2 linked regions of the Struthio camelus genome follow. The protein of the gene in region 1 interacts with the protein of each later gene in a biochemical or structural test. Links are inferred from orthologs where the notes say so. Each region holds a gene or a part of one and is shown on either strand. Other genes may lie near its edges.

The links.
Region 2: of the proteins of TOP2A (region 1) and PIAS4, one has a biochemical effect on the other in vitro, tested with the Homo sapiens proteins (2 studies listed by BioGRID). The link is inferred for Struthio camelus from reciprocal best matches to the Homo sapiens genes TOP2A and PIAS4.

What each region holds. Positions count from the first base shown.
Region 1 is NC_090966.1:6,949,026-6,960,988, reverse strand, and holds the start of TOP2A (DNA topoisomerase 2-alpha), read left to right. Parts: upstream 1-6,932; 5' UTR 6,933-7,033; coding exon 7,034-7,066; intron 7,067-7,659; coding exon 7,660-7,806; intron 7,807-8,003; coding exon 8,004-8,094; intron 8,095-8,604; coding exon 8,605-8,668; intron 8,669-9,233; coding exon 9,234-9,379; intron 9,380-9,849; coding exon 9,850-9,947; intron 9,948-10,270; coding exon 10,271-10,483; intron 10,484-10,656; coding exon 10,657-10,830; intron 10,831-11,025; coding exon 11,026-11,127; intron 11,128-11,651; coding exon 11,652-11,789; intron 11,790-11,963. Other genes in the region: collagen alpha-1(XVIII) chain-like, read left to right, coding at 19-75, 214-429, 539-913, 1,127-1,246, 1,349-1,402, 1,556-1,582, 1,956-2,057, 2,239-2,283 and 11 more. UniProt on the Homo sapiens protein: Key decatenating enzyme that alters DNA topology by binding to two double-stranded DNA molecules, generating a double-stranded break in one of the strands, passing the intact strand through the broken strand, and religating the broken strand.
Region 2 is NC_090967.1:4,283,474-4,295,665, reverse strand, and holds the start of PIAS4 (E3 SUMO-protein ligase PIAS4), read right to left. Parts: upstream 6,082-12,192; 5' UTR 5,929-6,081; coding exon 5,902-5,928; intron 2,472-5,901; coding exon 2,036-2,471; intron 1-2,035. Other genes in the region: EEF2 (elongation factor 2), read left to right, coding at 10,794-10,796, 11,652-11,866.

The sequences.
Region 1 (11,963 bases):
GCTCCCTTCCTCTCCCAGGTGCAGAACGGCTCCCAGTGCGTCTGCCCGGCGCGCCCCGGCCCTGCCGGCCCCAAGGTACCCGCCGCTTCGCCGCCTCCCCCGGGGGCTCTGCCGCCTGCCGGGAGAAACTCCCCAGCTCCTCCGGCCGCGCGACACCTGTGCCGCTCGGGCACAGAGCGCCCCGGCAGCCGGCCTCTTTCTTTCTCCCACCAGGGAGAGAAAGGCGACCGAGGAGCCCCGGGAGAAAGAGGCCAGCCGGGATTTTCTGGAGAGAGAGGGAAGACGGGCAACCCGGGCCCGCCAGGTCACCAGGGTCCCCGGGGCCCCCCCGGTCCCCCAGGCCCCCCGGGGCCGCCGGGACCGGCGGGCGCTTCGGGAGCCAGGAGCCCCCCGGCACCAGCCGCCCTGGCCAAGGGCTCGGAGAACGAGGTGAGGGCTGGGGGGGCGATGTCCGGCCCCCGGGGCAAGGGGAGCCCGCGGGTGGGATCCGCCACGCCACCGTTCACCGTCTCTGCTTCTCTTTCCTTTTTTCCTCCAGCCGGACAAGCAGCCTGGAGCATCCAGCCCCGGGGGGATCCCAGGACCCCCAGGTGCCCCTGGGCTGCCTGGCCAGCCCGGCCCCCCAGGCTACCCAGGACACGAAGGCCCCCCTGGGCTGCCCGGGCGGGAGGGCCCGCAGGGGCCCCCCGGCCCGCCGGGGGCTGTGGGGCCACCCGGTTTCCCGGGGGCCGAAGGGCCTCCGGGATCTCTAGGCTCGGCTGGGCCAGATGGACCCCCGGGGGCCCCGGGACTGCCAGGCCCCCAAGGACCCCCCGGGGTCCCGGGGCACGAAGGGCCCCCCGGGCCCCCAGGAGCTGCGTCGCTGCCCGGCAGCCCAGGGCTTCGAGGGGAGCCCGGCTTCCCCGGACTGAAGGTACGGGGAGCCCGGGGTGGGGGGGGGACGGAGCCGGCGGCCCCCCGCTCTGCCCCTCGACAGGGCGATCCGCACCCCGGAGCAAGGGACCCGGCACCGGGCTGCCGGGTCCCCCCCAGCCCCGCGGCGGCTGCGGCACCTGGGGGGGACGTGGGGTGCTGTGCTCCCACCCGCCGTGTCCGCGGCGCTGAGCCCCGCGCCGTGTCCCGGCAGGGCGAGAAGGGCGAACACGGGCTGCCGGGCATGCCGGGCAGCCCCGGGCGGACCGGCGACACGGGCTCGCCCGGCATGCCCGGTCCCATGGGACCGCCGGGACCACCGGGCGACTACAGGGTGAGTGGCCCCGCGGGATGCGGGTGCTCGGAGGTGGCCGGGGGGGAGGACGGGGCAGCCGCCCCCCGACGCTCATCCAGCCGTGCCCTCCTCTCCTCCCAGTGCGACCCGCGCCTCGCCGGGCACCACGGATCAGCGGGGCCGCCGGGACCCAAGGTGAGCGGGGAGAGGGGGCGGCGGGTGCAGCCTCTGCCCCGCTCCCGCTGCGCCCGCCGGTCCTGGCGGAGCCGCACAAAGCGACGCCACGTGCATCGCCCGGATGCCGCCCGGAGCCAGGGTGCTCATGGGCCCCCTCTGCTTTCCTTCCAGGGTGACAAGGGCGACCCCGGAGAGCGGGTTTGTAGCCGCGGGCGAGCAGGCTGGGGTGCCCCCTCCCTCCGAGCCCGGCGTGCCAGCAGCCTCGTGCCCGGCCCCGGGTGCAGCTCCCGCGTCCCCACTTCCCCGCCGCGCCAGGGCACGGCCAGCAGTTGCCTCGCTGCATTGGCACAGCCAAAGCCCGGGGCGGGGGATCTGCCTGAGTTTGGCCCAACTCATCTCACTTGTGAGCTTGGGCAGATTCCCGAAAGCAGGCTGGGGCGCCGGGGGGAGCGAGTCCCGCATGCACACGTGTGCACACGTGCACACACGCGTGTGCATGCCCGCAGCGCGCGCACCCCTCCCTGCTGCCCGGCGCGGGCTCTCATGGCGCCTCTCTCTGCGGCTCGCCCAGGGATGCTGCTACGGGGAACCCGGCTGCAAACCCGGCCACCACCTCCCCTTCCCCGGCGCCGGCGGCCAGCCCGGCTCCTGGGTGCCCATCCAGTACCCGCCGGTGAGTCCCGCCGAGCTGGCGGAGCCCAGGGAGACCCCCGGGGCCGGGCCCCAGCAAGCGGGGCGTGCGGGCTGCGCGGGCGATGGAGGGACAGACGGACGGGAGGAGGGTGGAGGGACAGGCGGACGACGGCAGAGCCTCTGCTGGAGGCGGCCTCGATCCTCTCCCTTTTTCTCTGCAGAACGGCAAAGAGGAGCCAGAGCTGTACGGCGCGATCATCCCCCACGTGAGACTGCCTGGCGCTGCGGCCCCCCGCCCCGGGGGGGGCCCAGCACTTTCAGTGCCCCCAGCACTGAAAGACCCCGATCCGATCTCTGCACCGCTCTCTACCGCAGGGTCCCCGAGGTCCCCCCGGCGATCCCGGCCCCCCCGGCCCCCCCGGCCCGCCCGGAGCACCAGCTCTGCTCTACCTCAACGTAAGGCTGTGCACGCGCGTGCGAACGCGCCCCGTGCGAACGCGCCCCGTGCAAAGCCGCCTGTCTTTGCTTCCAGAGGGTGTACCCGGCGCGCGCCCAGCCGCCCTGCAAGCAGCCGGTGAGCGTGGGCCTTGCGTCCCTGCCCGCCGCCCGCCCCTGGGCCTGGCGCCCCTCTGCTGGGCCAAGGGGCCCCGGCCCGGCCCCGCCACCCGTCTCGGCCCCGGCCCCACGAGGCTCGTGCATCCCCCTCCGTGCACCGGGATCACTGCTCGTGCATCCCCCTCCGTGCACCGGGACTGCCGCTCGTGCATCCCCCTCCGTGCACCGGGACCGCCGGCTCATGCATCCCCCTCCGTGCACCGGGATCACTGCTCGTGCATCCCCCTCCGTGCACCGGGATCACTGCTCATGCATCCCCCTCCGTGCACCGGGATCACTGCTCGTGCATCCCCCTCCGTGCACTGGGACTGCCGCTCGTGCATCCCCCTCCGTGCACCGGGATCACTGCTCGTGCATCCCCCTCCGTGCACCGGGATCACTGCTTGTGCATCCCCCTCCGTGCACCGGGACTGCCGCTCGTGCATCCCCCTCCGTGCACCGGGACCGCCGGGCCGGGCGCTGCGCGGGGAAGGGGGGGCCGCATGCCCGGCGCTGCAGTAACAAACCCCGTCGGCTTTTGCAGGCAGCCGCCGCCGCAGCCTGGCCAGCGGGTAAGGGCATTTCCCGGGCGTTTTGGGTGGGCTCCGGCCTCCTCGGAAGCAGGGCCGTGGGGCGGGCAGCGCCGGACCCCCCCCCCGCCGGCGTGCCGGGCTGCGCGCTGACCCCGGCCCCTCTCCGGCCCCTCCAGACGCTGACGCCTCTCGGACGGAGCCGCCGGACCCCCGCGGCGCGGACCTCCGGGTGCGTCCCAGTGCCCTCGAGGCGGGGGCGAGGGACGGGGCCGCCCCGCGCCCAGGCGCCGGCTCATGCACCTCTGCACCCCCCCCGCCCTCGCTCAGCGCCAGACGTGGGTGTTCGGGTCCAAGGAGCTGATGCTGAAGGCGGGCTCGGCCGTGCCCGAGGGCAGCCTGGTCTACGTGCGCCAAGGGAGCAGCGCCTTCCTGCGGACGCCGCGGGGCTGGAGCAGACTCCTGGTACTGAGCGGGTACCCGAAGGGCGCCGGGCTCCAGCCCCAGCAGCCGCCTCTGGATTTGGCCCCGGAGCAGCCCGGCGAAGGCAGCGGCTTCCCCTCTGACCAGCCCCTCGGCTTCTCGCTTTGAGCAGCTGGAGGATTCGGAGGCGCTCTTCGCCGGCGACGACCCCTCTGCGTCTCCCCCCGGCCCCCAGGTGAGGGCTGCGGGCGGCGAGCGGGTCGGGGGCACGGCGTCCTCCGCGGACGCGCCAGCCCCGCGCTCGCTCCTCTCCGCCCGGGAGGCGAAGCAGCTGCAGGCGAAAGGTCCCGACACGGAGCCGCCCGCCGTGGCGCCGGCGGCCTCGCAGGTGAGCGCCGCGCCGCAGGGACAAGCGTCCCTCCCCGGAGCGCTGGCCGGGCGCCCGCCGAGCCGGCAGCCGGGGCGCCGCAGCAGGCGGGGGGACTCCGGCAGGGCAGCGTGGCTCTGTGCCCGGCATGGCTGAGCCGGAGACCGACGTGACCCACCTTCCCCCAGGCCCACAAGGAGGAGGGACCGGGGACGCCCGGGATGCTGCCGACCGCCGTGGCCCCCAGGGTCCCTTCGGTAAGAGCTGTCCCGCTTCCCGGCCCCTTCCCGGCCCCCCGGGAGCTGGCGCCGGGTCGCCCAGCTGCAGGAGAGGTGGGAGAGGTGCCCCGGGGTCCCTCCGTGTCCTGCCGGGAAAGGCAACGCTTTCTGTCCAGGGAAAACCCTCTGCGTCCTGCTGGGAAATGCCCTCCGTGTCCTGCCGGGAAAGGCAGGGCTTGGTGCCGGGGCGGGGGGGAATCCCACCGCCGGGGCAGCCGGAGGGTCAAGCGCTCGGGGCGGAGGAGCAGAGACCCGGCAGCCGGGCGAGGGAGCAGGACGGGCGCCGGGGGCCGCCGGCTCAGGCGGTGCCCGGCCTCCCCAGCTCCGTCTGGCAGCCTTGAACGCGCCCCTCTCCGGGGACATGAGCGGCATCCGGGGCGCCGACCTGCAGTGCTACCGGCAGTCCCAGGAGGCCCGGCTCTACGGCACCTTCCGGGCGTTCCTCTCGGCCCCCACCCAGGACCTGGTCTCCATCGTCAAGCGGACGGACAGGACGCTGCCCGTCGTCAACCTCAAGGCAGGTAGCCCCGCGCCCCAGCTGCCGCCCCGGCCGGGGGCGACGGGCTGAGGCGGCATCCGCCGGGCACTGGGCACCGTCCTTGTCCGAAACGCCACCCCGCCACCACCGCCGCTCGCGCTTGCAGGGGCAGCTGCTGGCCAAGAGCTGGAGCTCCCTCTTTGAGGGCCAGGCCGGCGCCACTCGGCGCGTCCCCATCTACACCTTCGACGGACGTGACGTCCTCAGCCATCCCCTGTGGTGAGCGGGGCTGGCACGGCGGGTCCCCCAAAGGTGTCCTCCTTCACCTCCACCACCACCACCACCACCACCACTACCACCACCCTCCACGGGTCTGGTGCAGCAGGTCCCCCAAAGGTGTCCTCCTCCATCCCCACCACCATCACCACCACCACCACCACCCTCCATGGGTCTGGTGCAGCAGGTCCCCCAAAGGTGTCCTCCTCCATCCCCACCACCACCACCACCACCCTCCACGGGTCTGGTGCAGCAGGTCCCCCAAAGGTGTCCTCCTCCATCCCCACCACCATCACCACCACCACCACCACCACCACCACCATCCTCCACGGGGCCAGCACAGCAGGTCCCCCAAAGGTGTCCTCCTCCATCCCCACCACCATCACCACCACCACCACCCCCACCACCCTCCACGGGGCCGGCACAGCGGGTCCCCTCAAAGGTGTCCTCCTCCACCCCCACCCCCACCACCATCCTCCGCCAGGCCGGCGCGTGCCGGGGCCGGCCGTGAGGAGACGGTGCTGTGTCCGCAGGCCCCATCGGCTGGCCTGGCATGGCTCCGACCCTCGCGGCGGCTCGGCTCGCGGCCGGCACTGCTACGGTTGGCGGCGCTCCGGCTCGGCCCAGGGGCTGGCGGCCCCCCTGGGTCGGGGCGAGCTGCTGGCTGGGCAGCGCTACAACTGCTCCGAAGTCCTGGCCGTGCTGTGCGTGGAGGTGGCCTTCCCCTACCGGCACATGTGGTGAGCGAGGAGCCGGCCGAGGCCCCGCCGGAGGCTCCGCGCTGCCGCCGGGATGGCCGCCGCGGGGTGCTCGGCCATCCCCCCTTCCCACCCTCCCCGAACCCTCGCTCCTCGTCCCCTGCGCATCCCCGCTGGTCCCCCCGCCCTGCCCCGCGTGTCCATCTGCATCCCGGACCCCACGGCGCAGCCGATGCTGCCATCCCACCCTCCCCCCGGAAATAAACTTTAAATAAATGAATGGGAGGGTCGGTGTTTGGGATGGTGCCCCCCTACCCCACCCCGGGCACGGAGCGGGACGTGCTTTCCCGTTCGGCCGAAGCGGAGCGTCACAGCCTGGAAAGCAGCTGGGCTCTGGGCTTGTTTGCGAGACATGTCGGGGGCGTGTTTGTACACACACACACATATATATACACATATGTTAAAAAAATATATATGTATATATATATATTTGGGTCCCCCCCAATATATATATACACACACATATAGAGGGACCTCCTCCAAGGGTCTGTGTCCCAGCATGTCCCCAAGGCCTGCCCAGTATGTCCCAGTGTGTCCCTAGGGTCTGCCCAGTGTGTCACTATGTCCCCACTGTGTCCCCAGGACCTCTCCCGGTGGGTCTCCAAGGCCTGCCCAATATGTCACTATGTCCCCCTGACCTGCCCAATGTGTCACTGTGTCCCCATGACCTGCCCAGCTGTCCCCAAGGGCCTGCCCACTGTGTCCCAGTGTGTCCCAGTGTGCCCAGTGTGCCTCCTTGACCTGCCCACTGGGTCCCAGAGTGTCCCAGTGTCCCCACGACCTGCCCACTGGGTCTCACTGTGTCCCACTGTGTCCCTATGACCTACCCAGTGTGTCCCTGTGTGTCCCCAGGGCCTGCCCCCTGTGTCCCAGTGTGTCCCACTGTGTCCCAGTGTGTCCCCAGAGCCTGCCCAGTGCCCCCAGGCACCACCCCAGCAGGGCTGGCCGGGGAAGCCCCGTAGCTGGGCCCCGTCACCCAGGCAACCGCGACCCCGCCGGCGTGCCCTAGGGACGCAGCCTCGCCGCCACCTCCCTCCCTTGCTTCTCTATTGGCCGAGATTAGTGCCCGTCATCCAGATGTCCCTTGTGAGTGGCGAGATTTGAACGGCTCCCGCCTTCCCCCCGGCCGGAGTGGCTGGTTTGAAAGAGCGGGGAGCGTTGTGACTGGCTAGGGGAGGTGGGCGGGCGGGGCCTGTGTCCCCGCCTTCGCCCTGCGATTGGCGGGCCGGTTTCGGCGGGCTGAGCGGAGGTTTGAAACGCGCCCGGAGCGGTTAGCGGGCCGCCATCGCCGCCTCTCAGCGCTGCCGCCGCCATGGAACTCGAGGAGTCCCCGTCGCCCCTCCGAGTGCGTGCGGCCGCCGTCCTCTCAGGGCTGCGGGATCTCCCATCCCCTCAGATTCCCCCCCGGGGCCCCTCAAACCCCATCAGATCCCCCCAATTCCCCTCAGATCCCCCCCCGGGGCCCCTCGGATCCCGTCAGATCTCCCCCTAGTTCTCTTCAGATCCGCCCCCGGGGCCCCTCAGATCCCCCCCCGGGGCCCCCCAATTCCCCTCAGATCCCCCCCCCGGGGCCCCTCGGATCCCGTCAGATCTCCCCCTAGTTCCCTTCAGATCCGCCCCCGGGGCCCCTCAGATCCCCCCCCCGGGGCCCCCCAATTCCCCTCAGATCCCCCCCCCGGGGCCCCTCGGACCCCGTCAGATCTCCCCCCCCGGTGACCCCCAATTCCCCTCAGGTTGCCCCCCAGTTCCCCTCAGATCCCCCCCCGGGGCCCCCCAATTCCCCTCAGATCCCCCCCCATCTCCTCATGTCGCCCCTCAGGATCCTCCGCCAGGCTCGTCTCGGGGTCCCCCGCCGCCCCTCTCCCCTTCCACGGCCCCCTCCCGCCGCCGTGGCCGGTCCCCGCTCCCCTCACGGCCCTTGTCTCCCTCCCCGAGCAGCCCCTGGACGAGAACCCGCGGGTGCCCAAGGGCGACGGCGCCAAGAAGCGGCTCTCGGTAGAGCGGATCTACCAGAAGAAGACGCAGCTGGAGCACATCCTGCTCCGGCCCGACACCTACATCGGCTCCGTGGAGCTGGTGACCCAGGTGCGCCGGGGCTGGGAGCACCCCGGGGCTAAGCAGCACCCAGCACCGGGGGGGGGGGGGGGGGGGCGTTAACATGGCCCTCCAGCTAAGTGGGAATCAGTGCTGGGTGCCTCTGCCTTACACCCTGATGGCAGGGAACATGAGGGAAACCTGAAAAACACTTGGGGATGTATGTGTTTTTTTTACTTTCTTTTCAGCAAATGTGGGTTTTTGATGAGGATGTGGGCCTTAACTGCAGAGATGTGACCTATGTGCCTGGCTTGTACAAAATCTTTGATGAGATTCTAGGTGAGCTGTGGGATATCTATTGGACTAGTGATTAGCAAGTTTGTTTGTTTTTTTAAGTTATTTCTGGGTGCTGAAGGTGTAAGAGACCCTTGAACTAAAATTAAGAACTTGGCAAATGTACTTTTTTCCAGTTGACCAAGTAATGTCCTTTGCATAATCCGATGGATGGTGTTCACAGAGTATATCGTTTGTTGACTGTGCTTCAAAATGTTGGATACTAATGTTCTGCCTGGTCTTAATTTCCATTAGTGCCACTAAAGTGTAAGCCATTCTTGGGATGATGGCACTATATATTATAAAGCCAATTCCATTCAGCCCCAGATTCTCCCTTTTATGTTATCCTGTAGTGCTCATCTCTATAACTTGCAAAATCTTTGCCTATCAAGATGATTACTAGTAGCATCTTGTCTTCAATTTTTGTATTCGTTCTACTGAAAGCACTTTATAGTTAATATTTTCTGTCTTGATTGAAAGTGTAATATGCTAAAAATAACAATCTTTCTATTCTAGTCAATGCTGCAGACAACAAGCAGAGGGATAAAAACATGTCATGCATTAAAATTACAATTGATCCGTAAGTTTTATTTCATTTTTTCAGTGTCTTCCCAGTTCACGTATGTTAGATTTTCTTCTTCAGATACTGTTCTGTTAGGCTGGTGTTAGGCAATAGAGAGCTCTTTGCAGAGGCACATTCAAGTTGAACCAAATGTAACTCCTGGAGCTCCACAGCTGCCAACTTGTGTAGCATTATTGACCAATTACAAAAGCCTTTATCTTCTTTAGGTCTCTTGCTCTCTTAGAGCGTTGGCTTGTGAAATCATTGCTTTTACTTCCCCCCCCCCCCCCCCCCCCCCGCCTTGTGGTCGTTTTCTCCTTTCCTTCTTCTCAAATTTTTTATTCTGTTCTTGAGCACAGATTATTTTTGTATGTAACTATTCATATTATAGATGGTATCTGCAGATCTGAGGCTGAAGGTTTTTTTTTTTTGGACTTGTCCTCCCTCTGCTGGCTGTTTTTACACTTGCCGAACATAAATTTACTTTTGATGAAACGGTGGCCTTCTACCATTGATTTTGTATAGCATTTATTTCATAGCTCAGTCATTTCCAGCCTTAAAGACACACTCTCTTCTCCCCCAGAGAGAATAACACGATCAGTGTATGGAACAATGGGAAAGGTATTCCAGTTGTTGAACACAAAGTGGAGAAGGTCTATGTGCCTGCTCTTATTTTTGGACAGCTATTAACCTCAAGCAACTATGATGATGATGAAAAGAAAGTCACAGGTAGGGAAGTCTCTAAATTAAGTGCTAATATTTTTGTGCTGCCTGATCAGCTTAAATGTGTGAACTGAATTACCCAGTGTGAGTGAGCAGTAGCTAGCAGGTTTCATCAAGACTGCTTGTTCTGAATAAAGGTGACACTAACTGGTCCCTTGCTGTTCTCCTTGTTAAGAAAAAGAAGTGATGTTGATGCAGCATAAAAATGGAATCCCTGAGTGTATCAGAGGGACGTTTCCATGCTGTATTTTATAATAAAAATGGTACAGTCATGGAGAACAGGAGGAATTCCCTTTGAAAACTAATTCCCATTAAATATGGGTATATAGTCATGTGCTAAGTTTGTAGGATATTGTCATTCATGGTGAGTCGTACTTTGACAGTGCTGAAGGGACTGAATTCTTGTTAGTCTGGAATTCTTTTAGATGGTTTTGAACAAATGTAACAACATAGATCTGTTTGCGTTACAATTCCAGGTGGTCGAAATGGTTATGGAGCCAAACTGTGCAACATATTTAGCACAAAATTTACTGTAGAAACTGCATGTCGTGAATACAAAAAATTATTTAAGCAGGTATGGACACTTTCTTTAATTCTGTTTTCTCATTTCAGTAAGGTTGTACTTGAGATTCTCAAATAAGAGCCTACGTTCTTATTCCAATTTAGATGTTGTTTGCCTGGTGCAAATTTGTATTTGTACCATGACTAGAATAACTTTGGCCCACAGCTACTGTACTGCTAATTTTGATTCAAATAAGTAATGAAAAGAGCAGACAATCAGGATCTAATTTTTAACCAGTGGGGTTTTTTTTTAATCTCCAAGTATTTAAAACTTGTAAATCAGCTCTCTGATTTTAAAAATTAAGCTAGTTACTCATATTTCCATTTTTATCTCAGACCTGGACAGACAACATGGGAAAGGCTGGTGAAATGAAGCTGAAATATTTTGATGGAGAAGATTACACATGTATCACTTTCCAACCTGATCTATCAAAGTTTAAAATGACAATTCTGGATAAAGATATTGTAGCACTAATGTCTCGAAGAGCGTATGATATTGCTGGGTCCACGAAGGATGTCAAAGTTTTCCTAAATGGAAAGAAACTGCCTGTGAGTGAGCATTTAAAGGAAATAATATCTATACTTCTCATGACGTTTGAACAATGAGATTTGGTTCAAGCAATTTACATCATTACATGTGGCGAAGTGAAAATTCACATAAGTGATTTATAGTATTTATAGGCACTGTTATTAACAAATTCTCTGCTTTTATCTGCATGTAGGTGAAAGGATTCCGTAGCTATGTGGACCTCTATGTAAAGGACAAAGTGGATGAAACTGGTAATATGCTTAAGGTTATCCATGAGGAACCAAATTCTCGATGGGAAGTGTGTTTGACTTTAAGTGAAAAAGGCTTCCAGCAAGTTAGCTTTGTCAATAGCATTGCTACCACCAAGGTAACTCTTCTTTACCTTATTTAGTCATGTTAATGACATATTCTTCATTATTAGTATTCCTAGGTATTTCCGAATGTATGTTAGTGAAAAATAGTTAATTTGTGCAAAGACCATACTTAGCTTTGAATAGCAGTACGTATTTTTTTTTTCCCCAATGGAATCACCTCAAGATCTTTGATCCCTTTTTTCCCTTAGGGCGGCAGGCATGTTGATTATGTAGCTGACCAGATTGTGACCAAACTCATTGAAGTTGTGAAGAAGAAGAACAAAAATGGAGTTGGAGTAAAGCCTTTTCAGGTACAGACTCAGAATCTCCCTAGTAGGAAATGTAGCTCTAGCATTTTTGCAAATTGTAGCTACAACCTGATGAATTATTACAATAGTCTAATTTAAAATAAATATTTCCATTGTAAAGATTTTTTAGATAGATAGATAGATAGATATAAAAAATGTGCTAATTATAGAAGCCTTATATTTTCCATTTTAAACCAACTAACAATCTTCTCTTCCTTTAGCTGTTGTATTTTGTAATCAGAGCACCATAAATCATTGCAGATGCACTAAAAATATCAGATGATACCTATTTTGGAGGAAAGCTGCTGATTTCTTAACATCCAAAATCATATAATGTTGTTCATGAATGTTTGTGAGCTGTCCTAAATTCTATCAGTTCTGTTTAATTAGACGTGTAGAAAAATTAGAAAAAAAAATGGTGATGATTGAACTAGTTCTTCTTTCAGCGTGATTCTGATAGGCAAATGTTAGAAGGCCCTGTGAGATGAGCTGGTAAAATTTGTAATGGTAGTTGTATTTAACTGCAGGTGAAGAACCACATGTGGATTTTTGTGAATGCTTTGATCGAAAATCCAACCTTTGACTCTCAGACTAAAGAGAATATGACTCTGCAGGCAAAGAACTTTGGCTCAACGTGTAAACTGAGTGAAAAATTTATCAAGGGTGTAAGTACTGGAATACACTGGTTTCAGTTATAGATGTCTATAAAGCCGCATCTTATATTTAATGTGGCAGATATACTACTCATGAACTAATGTCAGTTTAAACAAAATGAATATATGCCTTAAAATTATGTCACAGTTGAGGCTTTTCTCACAATTGAATCTCTTGTATTGCAG
Region 2 (12,192 bases), on another chromosome or scaffold:
GCTGTGCTGAAATAGCCCCAGTTGTACAGAGACACAAATGCTTCTTTCTTCACGTTGGTGGAGGCAGAAGGAATTCTAGTTGCTGACCATCAAGTTGGGAAAATGAGACAAGTGTGTAGAAGACGTCTCTAGATTCTGAACAGTCGACTGGGACAATGAAGACTGAACATCTGTTCAATACCCAGCTCCTCAGCACCAGTCCCCAAAGGTCAAGCAGAAAACACTCTCATCAAAAGGGAAAATTAGTCAAATACGCTTTAGGGAACAAGTTGGCCCAAGGGAGGTGTCAGCTAACATACGCCTAGATACTAAATTTAATGAGACCTCAGTTCTGATCTCATGTAGAAAATTTAACGTCAACCTTCAATAAAATCTATTAATCACAGTAAGCATATCCCTGCTTCTCTCCCATCTCTAGATGTTTCCACCTCTTAAATTTATTTTTCTTCAAAATACTACATTTGCATTTTTGCCTGACAAACGCCACTCCACACTCCAGGCTGAATTAACCCGTTCCCTGAACAACAGTATTTAAAATAATTTCAGTTTTACAGTGACAGTTACTGCTTGACTGTTTTAAACGGTCACAGTATTACGGCATTTGTTGCCTCCAAATGCAGACAAAAAATACGTACGTATCAAATGACTAATTCAATAGATTTTTTTTTAAAAAACATACTGGTGAGCCACCCTGAAGCTAGCAACACAGAAATAGGTGTAAACAAGGAAAGGCATGCAGCACTATGCACAAAGGATAAAAAGGATAGTAAACATATGGAATAACTTATTATGGAAGACAACTGAAAAAGGATATAAACGAGCTCAAGAGATAGCCAAACTATCCCATGAAGGCAGAAGAGAATGAAAAGGTCTAATGAAAAAGCAGAAAGATTTAAGAACTAAGAAATTAGGAGCACAGGGACACTGGACCTGATGGCCATTTCCTGTTCTGAAAAATGTATGTTCCACTGCTATAAAGACGACAGCTTTAGGAATTTCTGAGTTGCGGTCAGACAAATTGCACAAAAGCTCCGATCACTGTCAACGAATCCCAAACATTTGTCTAACCTGACTATACTAGGCAGCAATAGCCACCGCACAGCTCTTTATTCAAATTTCTAACATATGATCCAATACTGCAGCCCTTCACGCACCTGCACAGACAGAAAATGCATTATCTTCCTCTATGACAGTTCTTTTTGGTCCTCAGGCACAGCAGAAACATGCTTTTTCAGCAAAGAAAGATCAGCTTCCCAAGTTCCAGGTTCACTTAACAGTGAGGCCTGGTATCACCATATTTGCTTTATAAGCCAATGAGGCTGAACACCGTACAATGATTTCAGAACTGAAATAATGAAGAGTCAGACACCTAGCCCCAAAGTGGGAGAAAGCGCGTCTTCCAATTTTCAGATTTCCCTAGTTGCTCCTCAAAATACACAGTGTCAGGCACAAAGAATTGTGATAGGCTTAAAAAAAAAAAAAAAAAGTCAGAAATACTGTTTGATATGTGTACCACCTTCTTTCATCCACAAGAGGATTTAGGTTAGGTATGTTAAGCACTGAAAAACAGCTCTAATGTAGAAAGTGTCAGCGTACTCGCCCAGCACAGGTGCAACACCAACACAGAAAGAAAGAGTTTCATCAATATACTGCTACATTAGGGAGAAGGAAGACAGATTGTGATTCACAGCACAAGACTGCAATGTTACACGGCAGCATTTCCAATGAAGGATATGAAAGCTTCAGCCAAACAAGACAGGCTTTTCAAGTTACAACTCAAAGTGACCACCTTTGTGTTCTAAGGCAAGGGGAAAACAGATAAGAATATTCTACTCCATGCTTACAGCATCTGGGAGGAAGACTGGGGGGGGGGGGGGGGAGACATCCACCACAACATGAATCACTGTTTCTCCTTCCATCACACGATTTTACTGATCCTTGAAAACACTGCCATCTTTTCAACACTTGTTATCTATTTCAGTTTTCTTTCCCAGACCGACTCCAGCAGAAAAGCACCAGAATACAGACAACTCACCTAACTCTGTTGGCTTCAACAGTTCATCCAGGGTCGTATAGAAGGGAAGTTTCACGAGCCGAACTTCAGGCTTCACAACTTTGGGCGGCAACCTTCCCAGTCCGTTAAGGTATTTCCCATAGAGCGCAGGATAGTCAATATTATTAGTTGAGATAGAAGTCCTAGCAACAGTGCTCCCACGGTCATATGAAGAATGTATGGAGAGTGCCTCAGGAGACCGGTGCTGCTGTGGCTGGGGCTGCCCTGGCTCAGAGCTCTTCTTGGCATAGCGAGTCTCATAGAGCTCTTTAATCTTCTTGAAAACTTCAGGGCTACAGTCAAATTGAACCAATTGCAATGCTCTGGTGACTAGTTCATGTTTAAGTCCACTTTTGCTCCTGCCAACAAAACCCAGCAACATCTGAAGATCCGAGACTCGGAAACTCATCACCATGTTCTAGGGAATAAAAGATCAGAAAAGTTCTTACAGTTGTAAAAAGATAAAGTGTCAGTTCTCACTACGTACCCTGGAATCCAAAATACTAAAAACAAAAACCTGGTATAAGAACAATACCAAGCCTTCTGTTCAAATTAGCTGTCCTGCGCCTGATTAACATTCCATTTACCAGGTACTTGTTTGAGCAGAGGAAATACAAAGGAGACCATCAATTGAAAAAATCAACCAATTCACCCAAATGAGCGAAATGACACATGATGGTCACTGAGTTAACTCAAAATCTAAACGTCCTCAAGGTAATTCTACCAGAACTAATGGTGACCACAAAGTAAAACACTCAAAACAGCCTGCCCCACACAGTAGAGTATACATTAACCCCTTTCACCATGAAGGGGCTCAAAGTATGCAGACTTCCAATGCACCTTCGGGTGAGAGGGTTACATTAAAAGCTTAATCTAAAATATTATCAAGTAAGGTAAAGGAAGAAAATGAACGTGAACTGGAGGGTGGATGACATTTCAGTGGACTGGGGCTGCCAGTCCTTTAGGATTCTTCGCACTGTATTTCAGTGCATCTAGATATTGCCTGTATGTGCAAAAAAAAAAAAAAAATCCAGAACTCTCCCTACATATGCAGGGCCTTTTAAAAAAGGCATCAGATATTTTAGGCTATGGAGTGATATTAAAAGACTATTAAAGAGGGAGAAGGATGTTCCCATGAGAACAATGCCTCCAAGATTCCATTTGGAGGCTTTGCCAAGCATTCTCCCATGATTACAGCCAGTAGCTGCTTTTGCTCTTGCTCTAGTACTATTGATTTCAATGTTTTGATAAGCAGTAAAACTATCTGTCTTCACAAATTCACTCCTCTTGCTGCTGTGGAAACTCAAAAGGCCTATAATTTGTCAGTAGATTCAAAGACCATACTATATTAGAAGGCGATTTTCCACCAAACTAAGAACTAGAAATTATTTCAATTGGGACTAATGCTAGAGTCTGGTCAGATTGACGATTGAGTTCTCTCACATGGCAAGCGGCTTTATGAATGTGCAAGGCAAGCTTATAAAGGACATTAAAAAAAAAATGCAAGTTGCACGAGAATGTACTTGATAGGCACCCACGATTATTCCTTCAGCGTCCTTCCTTGTTTGTGGAAAACGTCAGAATTCCAGAAGAAAGCTCAACTGCTCCATAGTAAAGAGCAAAAGCAGGGATGAGAGATCAATAAGTCTCTTTTCCCCAACCTACCCTCCACTCTTGTTTGCTGATTACACTTAAGAAAAAATGCATAAAGTCAGTTTTCTGTGGAAGTTAAAATAGTAGTCTTACAATTTCCTAGAGGGAGGAAAAAAAAGATGATGATGACATGGATGAATTAATTTTTTAAAGCTACTGTTTAGTCCAGAAACATTTCACAGCCACATCTGCCTGTGCGGGAATTAGGCTGTAAAAAGAATATCATTTTATTTTCTCCTTTCTCATGAAATCTGTCATTTAATCTGGAAACCCAAGAGATGTTAAAGAACTTCACACAAATGTCATTGGCTGCAGTTTAGATTTTTTGGTAGCTGAGATGTGTCCCAGAATACCTTTGATGTGAGAAAAAGGCAAGTAACTTTAAAGAGGAGAGAAAGGATGTTTAACTGCTAGAACACGAGGATTCAGGAGATGTGGATTCACTTCACTGCTTCGCTAGATACCACCTGCGTGATCCTGGACAAGTTCAGTTCCTCTGTCGTTATTTGCTCTATCTACAAAATGGAGAGCGTACTGGACTCTCAGAACTACTTCAAGGATAAACAGCATATTTGCAAAGATAATTACAGCAAGGCTGTGAAGCACTTCAGTCGTGCAGTAACGGGGAAGTCACATTGAGCACAGCAGATACTCCTACGCTGCTGGTCACTTGGGACCTTAGGTACGTACAGTGGAGTTTGACCCAATAGTTTTCCACAGTTTACATTTAGAAAGGTTTAAGACCTAGAAGGATGATCAGATTTGAACAGTAACAACAGAACAAGTTAGTTTCACACAAAGAAAAATGCATCATCGAGGCTTAGATCTGGATGACAGTACGAGCGGTACTTAGATCACATTAACTACTGAGGTTATTTTAACACTAAATTTTAAGTCAGCTCCTTTCCCCAAGGAAGCCTTGCATCTGAGTGGCAAACTGTGTCACTCAAACATCTGCTAAGGAGGCAAGCGATGAAGTCTTGGAAACATACCTCCTCCAGAAGCGTCCTGGGCTCAGCTCAATTGAGAGGGGCCAAATACTAGGGAGAGGAGAGACCACAGGGACTCCTAAAATAGACTCTCCACATCTTATTTTTTGCAACCATCTAGCCACATCCTTACTTATTAGCTAATCCTGCAGGTGCTATTAACAATTTCTGTGCGTTGAAGTCACGCAGTAAACACCCTTAGCGCCAGCTTCGCCATGGCACCGTTGCGTGCAGTCTGCTCAAGCGCAGCGAGTCGCTCCCCTGCGCTGCCGCGCGCTGACAGAGCAAAACAGAGAAGTCCCAGAATCAGGGAGAGAAGAGTAAATTGGGACTCCGAGAAGGGAAAACAATAATAATAAAGCAGAGAGCGGGTCCTATTCTGCTGAACCTCCTTTCCGCAGGAGGCCTGCTGCGGCGCACAGGACACTTTGGAAGTACGGTACAACTTCAGGTACGCTTGCTTTAAAAACGCTTCATTTGGAAGCGCCTGGGACATACCCGGGAAGCTCCATGCCGCGCAGAATCAAGGGGGGAAGCTTCCCCCCCCCCCCGGATACCTTCCGCTCCTTCCCCACTTCCACGCTCTGCCCTCCGCGGAATCCCCCTCCCCCGCCGTCGGCCGGAGCCGGCACAAAACCGGCCCCGGCGGCTGGACAGCTCCGCGCCCCGCGGCCCCGCTCCGCGCCCGGCGGGCACGAGGCGCCTGGGGGCCCCGCGCGGGCGCCCGGCGGGGCGGGGGAAGGGGGGGGTGGGAAGGAGCCCCGCGGAGGCGGCCGGGAGAAGCCACCTGCCTTAATTAATTACTCGTAATTAATAAGGGGAGCAGCGCGGCCCACGCCGCGGGGAGGGAGGAAGGGGGGGGGGGGTGGACCCAGGGGCAGGCTCGGACCCGCCGGGCTGCGAGAGGCGCCGGGCAGGCCCCGGTTGTGGGGGGCGGGGGCTGGGCCCGGTGAGGGGGCCGCGGCCGAGCCCGGGAAGCCGGGGCGGGGCCGGTGGCTCCTGAGGTAAAGTGTGTGTGGGGGGGCCGGTCCCGGGGGTGCCGCCCCCCCGGCTCTCGCCGTCGCACCGCGCCGCCCTCCCCGCCGCCGCCGCCCCCCTCGCCGGGAACCGCCGCCCCGCGCGGCCCGGCCCTGAGGCCGCAGTCGGCGGCGGGGCGGAAGACGGGGGAAGGAAAGGGGGGGGGGGAGGAAGGTGCCGCTCACTCACTTTCGCCTCCACCAGCTCCGCCGCCATCTTGGCCTCCAGCGTCCACCGCGCCGGGAGCCGCCGCCGAGTCACGTGACGCCCGCGGACGGACGGGGGGCGGGGAGGGGCCGCGGGTGGCGCGCGCCGCCCAATCCGCGCGCGCGCGCGCGCCCTTCTCCCCGCGGGCCGCGGCGCCGCGGCGCAGGCGCACTGGCCACGCCCCGCCCGGCCACGCCTTCCCGGCTGCCTTAAAGGGGCAGCGCCCCGGGAAGCCGGGAGGCGGCAGCGTTACCGGAGGAGGGGGCGGCGGTGGGGGGTGGAGCAGCGATGGCGGCTCCCGGGGTCGCCGCCCTTCAGGAGGGGAGCCGGTGGGGAGGGGTGTGCCCACGGTGGGGGGGGGGGCAGGGAGCGATGCGCAGCACCCCCAAAATGGCCGTGGGGCAGGCAGGCCGCACCAGGCCCCAACCGGGGTACAGGCCCCAACCGGGGTACAGGCCCCGGGGCCAGCGGGAGCGCCCTTGGCGGCCTGTCCTGTGGCCTTGACCCCTGCCCGAACCTCCACGCGCTCCTTCGAGGCCCGGGCTCGTTCGTGGGCACGGCGGTGGCCTGAACCGGAGGCGCCTGCCCGCGTCCGGCTGCGGTCACCCCAGGGAAGGGGCAGGTTTTTTGTTTGCCCCCACTTCTGAAAATGGCCTAAAATACGGGGACGTTGGGTCTGGTCACCTGTAGTTTGCCTGGAAGGTGTTTTCTGGGGAGCAGGCAGCTGAAACAGGCATTTCTAAGGTTAAAAACCCTCTGGAGGGGAAAAAAAAACCCAAAGGAACCTGACAGCTTGTAGATCCCTCCTCGTCAGAGGAAAACAAAGGGCACAAATCTAATTCTCCCTCGGCAGCAGCCTCCACTTGCTTATCTCAGGCTTTGCTGTTCAGTCGCAGGCCTCAGAGCTGCCAGACGCTTGCGCATACACCAATAACGAGCACTCCGCTTATTCCAGGGGCCGTTAACCCCCTGCCTCTGCTCTGAGGGACCAAGGCCTCCAGAAACTCCTGTGATGCTGTCACCCGACACGGCGCCCTCCCGAGCACGCGGCGTTGCGTCGCTGAGACACCCGGCGCTGCAGCTGGGAACCGACCGCCCCGTGGTGACGGCGCCCCAGAAACCCCCAGGTCAGTGTCTCTCTCCATATTTCTAGGTGCCCAGGGAGGAGCTGATCCTCCAAGAACCCGTCCCTGCTAAAAACGCCTTATGTGTAGATAGAAATGAGTTCTCCCCAGCTGAAACCTGCCTGCAAGTCACTCTTTTCCCGCTGGGATCTGGGTGCTCCGTTTCTAAGCGTGAGGCCAGGAACGAGCGCCCAGCACAGTCCCTTTCACGTGGGCCGAGCAACTACATCCAGGCAACTTCAGGCTGAATTACCAGGAGACAACAGAGAGCCCCTGGGCACCTGCGCGCCTGCGGGCTGTGATGGCCCATCACGCCCGGATGTACACGAGAGGGGACGGTCCCCGAAGACCCCGTGCCGTTGGAGGAGACGGAGGCTTTCCAGCACTTTCCCCTTCTTGTCATCAGTCCCCCAGGCCAATTAAACAAAAAGGCAATGGGCTAGTTTCCCAGGCAGGCCAACATGTTAATCAGGCTCCCCAGCCTCCCCTTCCAGTCTGGCAAAAGCCAGCATTGGTGCTAAAAAATTCAAACGGTTGCTGTGGCAACCCCAACAGCTGATAACTCATCCTGTCACAAGGGGAGCGCGGGGCTCACAGCCTCCCGGGGCCAAGGTGATTCCTGGCGTAGCTCCACCGGCAACTCCCTGGGCACCGCAGATAGTGGAGGGGACCGGTGGGCTGGGGATGTGCTGGGAATTTGGCAGCGACCTGAGCTGCCTGGCGAGGTGGCTTGGGGACAAAGTGGCTTGGATTTATTAGAGGTTTTTTTTTTTTTTTAATATGTTGCAGCTGATGGAAGTAAAGCAACAGTCTTCTATGATGCTGAAGAGAAGGACGTAAAAAAAGATGCAAAATATTTATGGTATGGAGATGGAGAGTTGCATCCTGCTGTGCTGTGCTGTGGAGTCTCTCTTTACTTGCCCTCGCTCTCAGTCTCCTTTTAATTTGATCTTAGCTCAGGTAATTCTCTTCACCGCGTAGCGCTTCAGTTTTCCCATTTGCTAAAACAAAGTGAAGGGATTTTGGCCTTTGTTCCTGCACTGGAGATGAGGGAGTCCTCCTAAAACTGCAGACTGGGTCTTCTCTCACCCTGTGTAGTCGTTCCATGTCTTTCCATCGAATTATCCCTGCTTCATCTCTGCCGGAGCATGAGGAATCATTTGTGTCAGTCTGAGACCGTCTGCAGGATGGCTGCTCGTTACTGTTGCTCTAAAAGGTAGAATGTGAACACCCAGTGATTTTGCAGGGCACTTTGAGAGACAAAGAACATACACCCATGGCTGAACCAGCATGTCAGGCCCTTCTTAGAGACCTCCTGGCGTAGGAGCGAAGTTTGGAAGAGAGCTGTGGGTTCGTGAAGCTTTACCAGGGACAGCCGATGGCGAAGATCTTGCGCGTGTCAGCTACCAAAGGAAGAGCAAGGCAGCTGGATGGGTGCTTTTGGCTCACCAGAGGACTGGCTATGGCCCCTGGGGTCCCAGCTGGAGTCGAGCAGCTCTGCAGATCCTTCCTCCAGCTACACCCCTCCCTCCGCATCCCGCTCAAGCCAGGCGTGGCTTGGGAGCGCGGCAAGGAGGTGCGTGGCCTTTCCAGGGCTCCTACAGCCCGTACCCCTCGTCCTGCCCAGCGCAGGCGCTGGGGGCCCGTGCCATCGCCAGCCGTGCCAGCCCCCGGGGCGGCTGGGGACGCGGGCCAGGCCCTCCGGCCGGCGGCAGCGGGGCGAGAGCCCCGGCCTCGCGCGCGCCTCGCCGGCACCCTTGCTGTCGTGGTGCAGTGGCGGGAGCCGCCCCGGGGACACGGCTGGGGACATCGGCGGGCGTTGTGGGGCACGTTTCGGGGATGCAGCGCCCCCCGGGGTGGGGGGGGGGGAACCGGGCACGCTCGGCCCCGCAGCGCTCCCTCCCCGCCCGCAGGGGGCGCTGCGGCGCTGCCCCCTCCCCTCCGCCGGCCGGGCTGGCGCATGCGCAGCGCGGGGGCCCTGCGGAGGGCGGCGGGGGGGGGGGCAGGAGCGGAGCGAGCGACCGCAGAAATGGCATTTGGGGACGGGGACGGCGGGGGCTGCCGGGGGCCAGGCAGGGCCTGCAGCGAGGGCAGGGGATTGCAGCAGAGCTCTGCAGCGAGGGCAGGGGACTGCAGTGAGAGCAGAGGCCCTGCAGTGACATTGCAGTGCAGGCAGCAGCCTTGCAGCGATGGCCGGGCTTAGCTGCAGCCCGCCAGGCGCCGCAGCCTTCCCTGCATGGCTCTGCCCTTGCTGCCTCCCTGCGAGGGGGCGGCTGCAGTCCGCCCAGGGGAGCCTCCCCCCCCCCCGAAAGCCTCGCGCAGGCGGTTCCCCCTGCTCTGTCCTCGCTGCGCGCCCGGCTGCCAGGTCTTCGCGTGAGGGCATAAAGCATGTGCTGCAGCGGGGGTTTGTTCGCACTTTGTTCTCGATAGGTCTCGCTCTGCAGAGCACGGGAACCCGAGGTGAGGCACTGTCGCCCTGATCCTGGAGGCCACGACAGGATTTCGCACCCCGGGCAGGAAGCCGCGTGCCACGAGTCCCTGCAGGTGCAGGGGCCACCGATGCAGGACTCGGATCACAGCGCTGATGAATCGGCCCCAAATGCTCTGCAATTTACAGCTGAGCTCACCAACCGCTCCTTAATGCTCGGGATGCAAATCAGCGCAGCCCCTGGAAAATCAGGGAAAAAGAGAGGAAAACTTAAGTTTTCCATAGAAAAAAAAGAAAACGTCACCTGCATTTTTAATGCCAGCAAGGAATTGCCCACAGATTTTAAAAGCAGAACATTCACCTGCTTTAATTGTTCGTTTTCTTTAATTTGTTGTTACCTCTTTTATTTCTCTGCCCTGTACAGACCAAGGTACATGCTTCGCTCTGCCGTAACATGTTCTCGGGGTAAGAGCGAACCAAGAAAGGCTTCCCCCAGGGTTCGGTTGCTCTCTAATGAAATCAGTGGCAGGGTTCCTGCTGGCAGGAGAGGAGCCCTCACTGACTTTGTAGCGGCTCCTCGAGCGCGTGGCATGACTGGGGACGACGTGAAGGCGGTGACAGCAGCCCCGGCAGCGCACAGCTTTCTCTCGTGGCGTGTTTAACGGCTGGCGAAGCCCCTGGGAGCGAGCACCATGCCGGGGGCCCTGGGGCCAGTGGTGGCAGGCACCAGTGGCCCCACAGCAGGGGGATGGCGGGAGGGAGGTGTGAAGGCAGCGTCAGGCCCGGTACCCTGCCCGGGTGTCCGAGGCCAGGCCCTGCTCGTCCCGTGCAGGCCCCAGCCCTCGCACCAGCTCCGTTTTTGGGGTCGCTCTGCTGCCACGGGCCATACTGGTCCGGGTTCCCGTTCACATGCCGGTGTTTGGCGGCAGGTGGGGAGGGGCTTTGCCCCCGCCCCGCCTGAGCAGAGCACTGGCAATGCGGGAGCCCCGCTCCGGTCTGCTCCCCTTCACCTCCCCCCCCCGCCCGCAGGCCCCGGGCTGGTGCCGGTGCGCGGCCACGTGGTCCCCGCCCCGGCGGAACAGCCCTCCCAACCATCGAGCCTCCCGACAGCGGAGGGCTAGACAGGCGCCTCAGCGCATGCGCCTGGCGCGCCGGCGCCACCGACTCCGCCCCTCAGCCGGCGCCGCCGTATAAGAAGGGGGCGGTTGACGTCAGCGTTCTCTTCCGCCCGCTCTGCGCTCGCCAGCGAGACAGGGCCGTCGCCGCCGCCATTGCTGCACCACCCCCCCCGCGCCCCGGAGAATCCGCCGCCATCCGCCACCATGGTGAGGCCCCGCGCCCCGCCGCCGCGCCGGGAGGCTGGGCGGCCGCCGCGCCCGCCGCGCCGGGCAGGATGGCTGCGACCGCGCAGCCGCGGGGCCTGCGGCGGGGGCAGGGGCCTGCGGCGCCGGGCCCGCCCGTGGGTGCCGGCTTGAGCCGCAGCCGAGAGCGGGGGGAAGAGGGCCGAGGCGCCCCCGGGGGGACTCCGGGCTCTTGTCGCGGGGGTGGAGGCTTGGGGGGGGGTCCTGGGACGCGTTTCGCTGTGCCGGCCCGGGCAGGGCCCTTCGTTAGCCGTCCTGGGGCGGCCGCGCCGCTGGGGCCCGGCCGGGCAGCGCCTCCTCCCCGCGGCGGGGGGGGGGGTGGGGGCGGTGATGTGGCACCGGGGCCGAGCCGCCGGCGGGGCGGTGCTGCCGCCGGGATCGGGGGCTCTGCGGCGGGCGCCGGCTGTCTTATGTAACGCTGCGGCCCGGGCAGGGGCAGCTGCACCTGGGTGCCGAGCTGTCACGTCGCGGCGTGGAGCAGAGACCGGCTCTGCTGAGGGGCTCCTTGAGAAAGCGGCTTCGGCTTCAGTGCGGTTTCCGTCAAGGAAATGCGGAGACTGCCGCAGTTTGTAGGGCACCGAGGGCTGCTGAGTGCCTGCCCTGCTGGCCCAGACCCCTCCTCGCCAAAATATTCGCGTCTGTGATGCCCTTGAAGTTCTTCCTGTGGGTTGTCTTATAACGCTGGCTGTGCAAGCAGAATTAACGTCAGTGTGACTAAACTTGGCAACGCCAGGTATTGACGTTGTTGCTTGATGCTCCTGGAAGAGCTGAAGCTGTTTTTACATATGCTGCGTTTTTCTTTTTCTCCCTTACCTTAAGGTGAACTTCACAGTAGACCAGATACGGGCCATCATGGACAAAAAGGCCAACATCAGAAACATGTCTGTGATTGCCCATGTTGATCATGGCAAATCAACCTTGACTGACTCTCTGGTCTGCAAAGCTGGTATCATTGCCTCTGCCCGTGCGGGGGAGACCCGTTTCACTGACACGAGAAAAGATGAGCAGGAAAGGTGCATCACTATCAAGTCAACGTGAGTTCCCTTCCTTCAAGGGCCTTAGTGCTCTTGGTACATGGTCTGACCTCGAGAGTGCCTTGAGCCCTAGACCTGGTTTTGGTCACGAGATGAAAGAAGAGACTGTCAGGCTCCCTCTAGTCTAGTCTAGTTGAGAAGCTTCTCTCTTCCTTGTCGTGAGGACTGCTTAAATGAAAGAGCAAGTATTGATTTACTTGTGGTGAATCATAAAGTGCTATCTTGATGGCCCCTGGGAAAGGGATGTGCTCAGCCTTCCATTTTAGCACTAGCTCAGTTTAGCGTGGCTCATGTTCGCTGGAGTCCCGCGGATGCAGTCCTGAGAC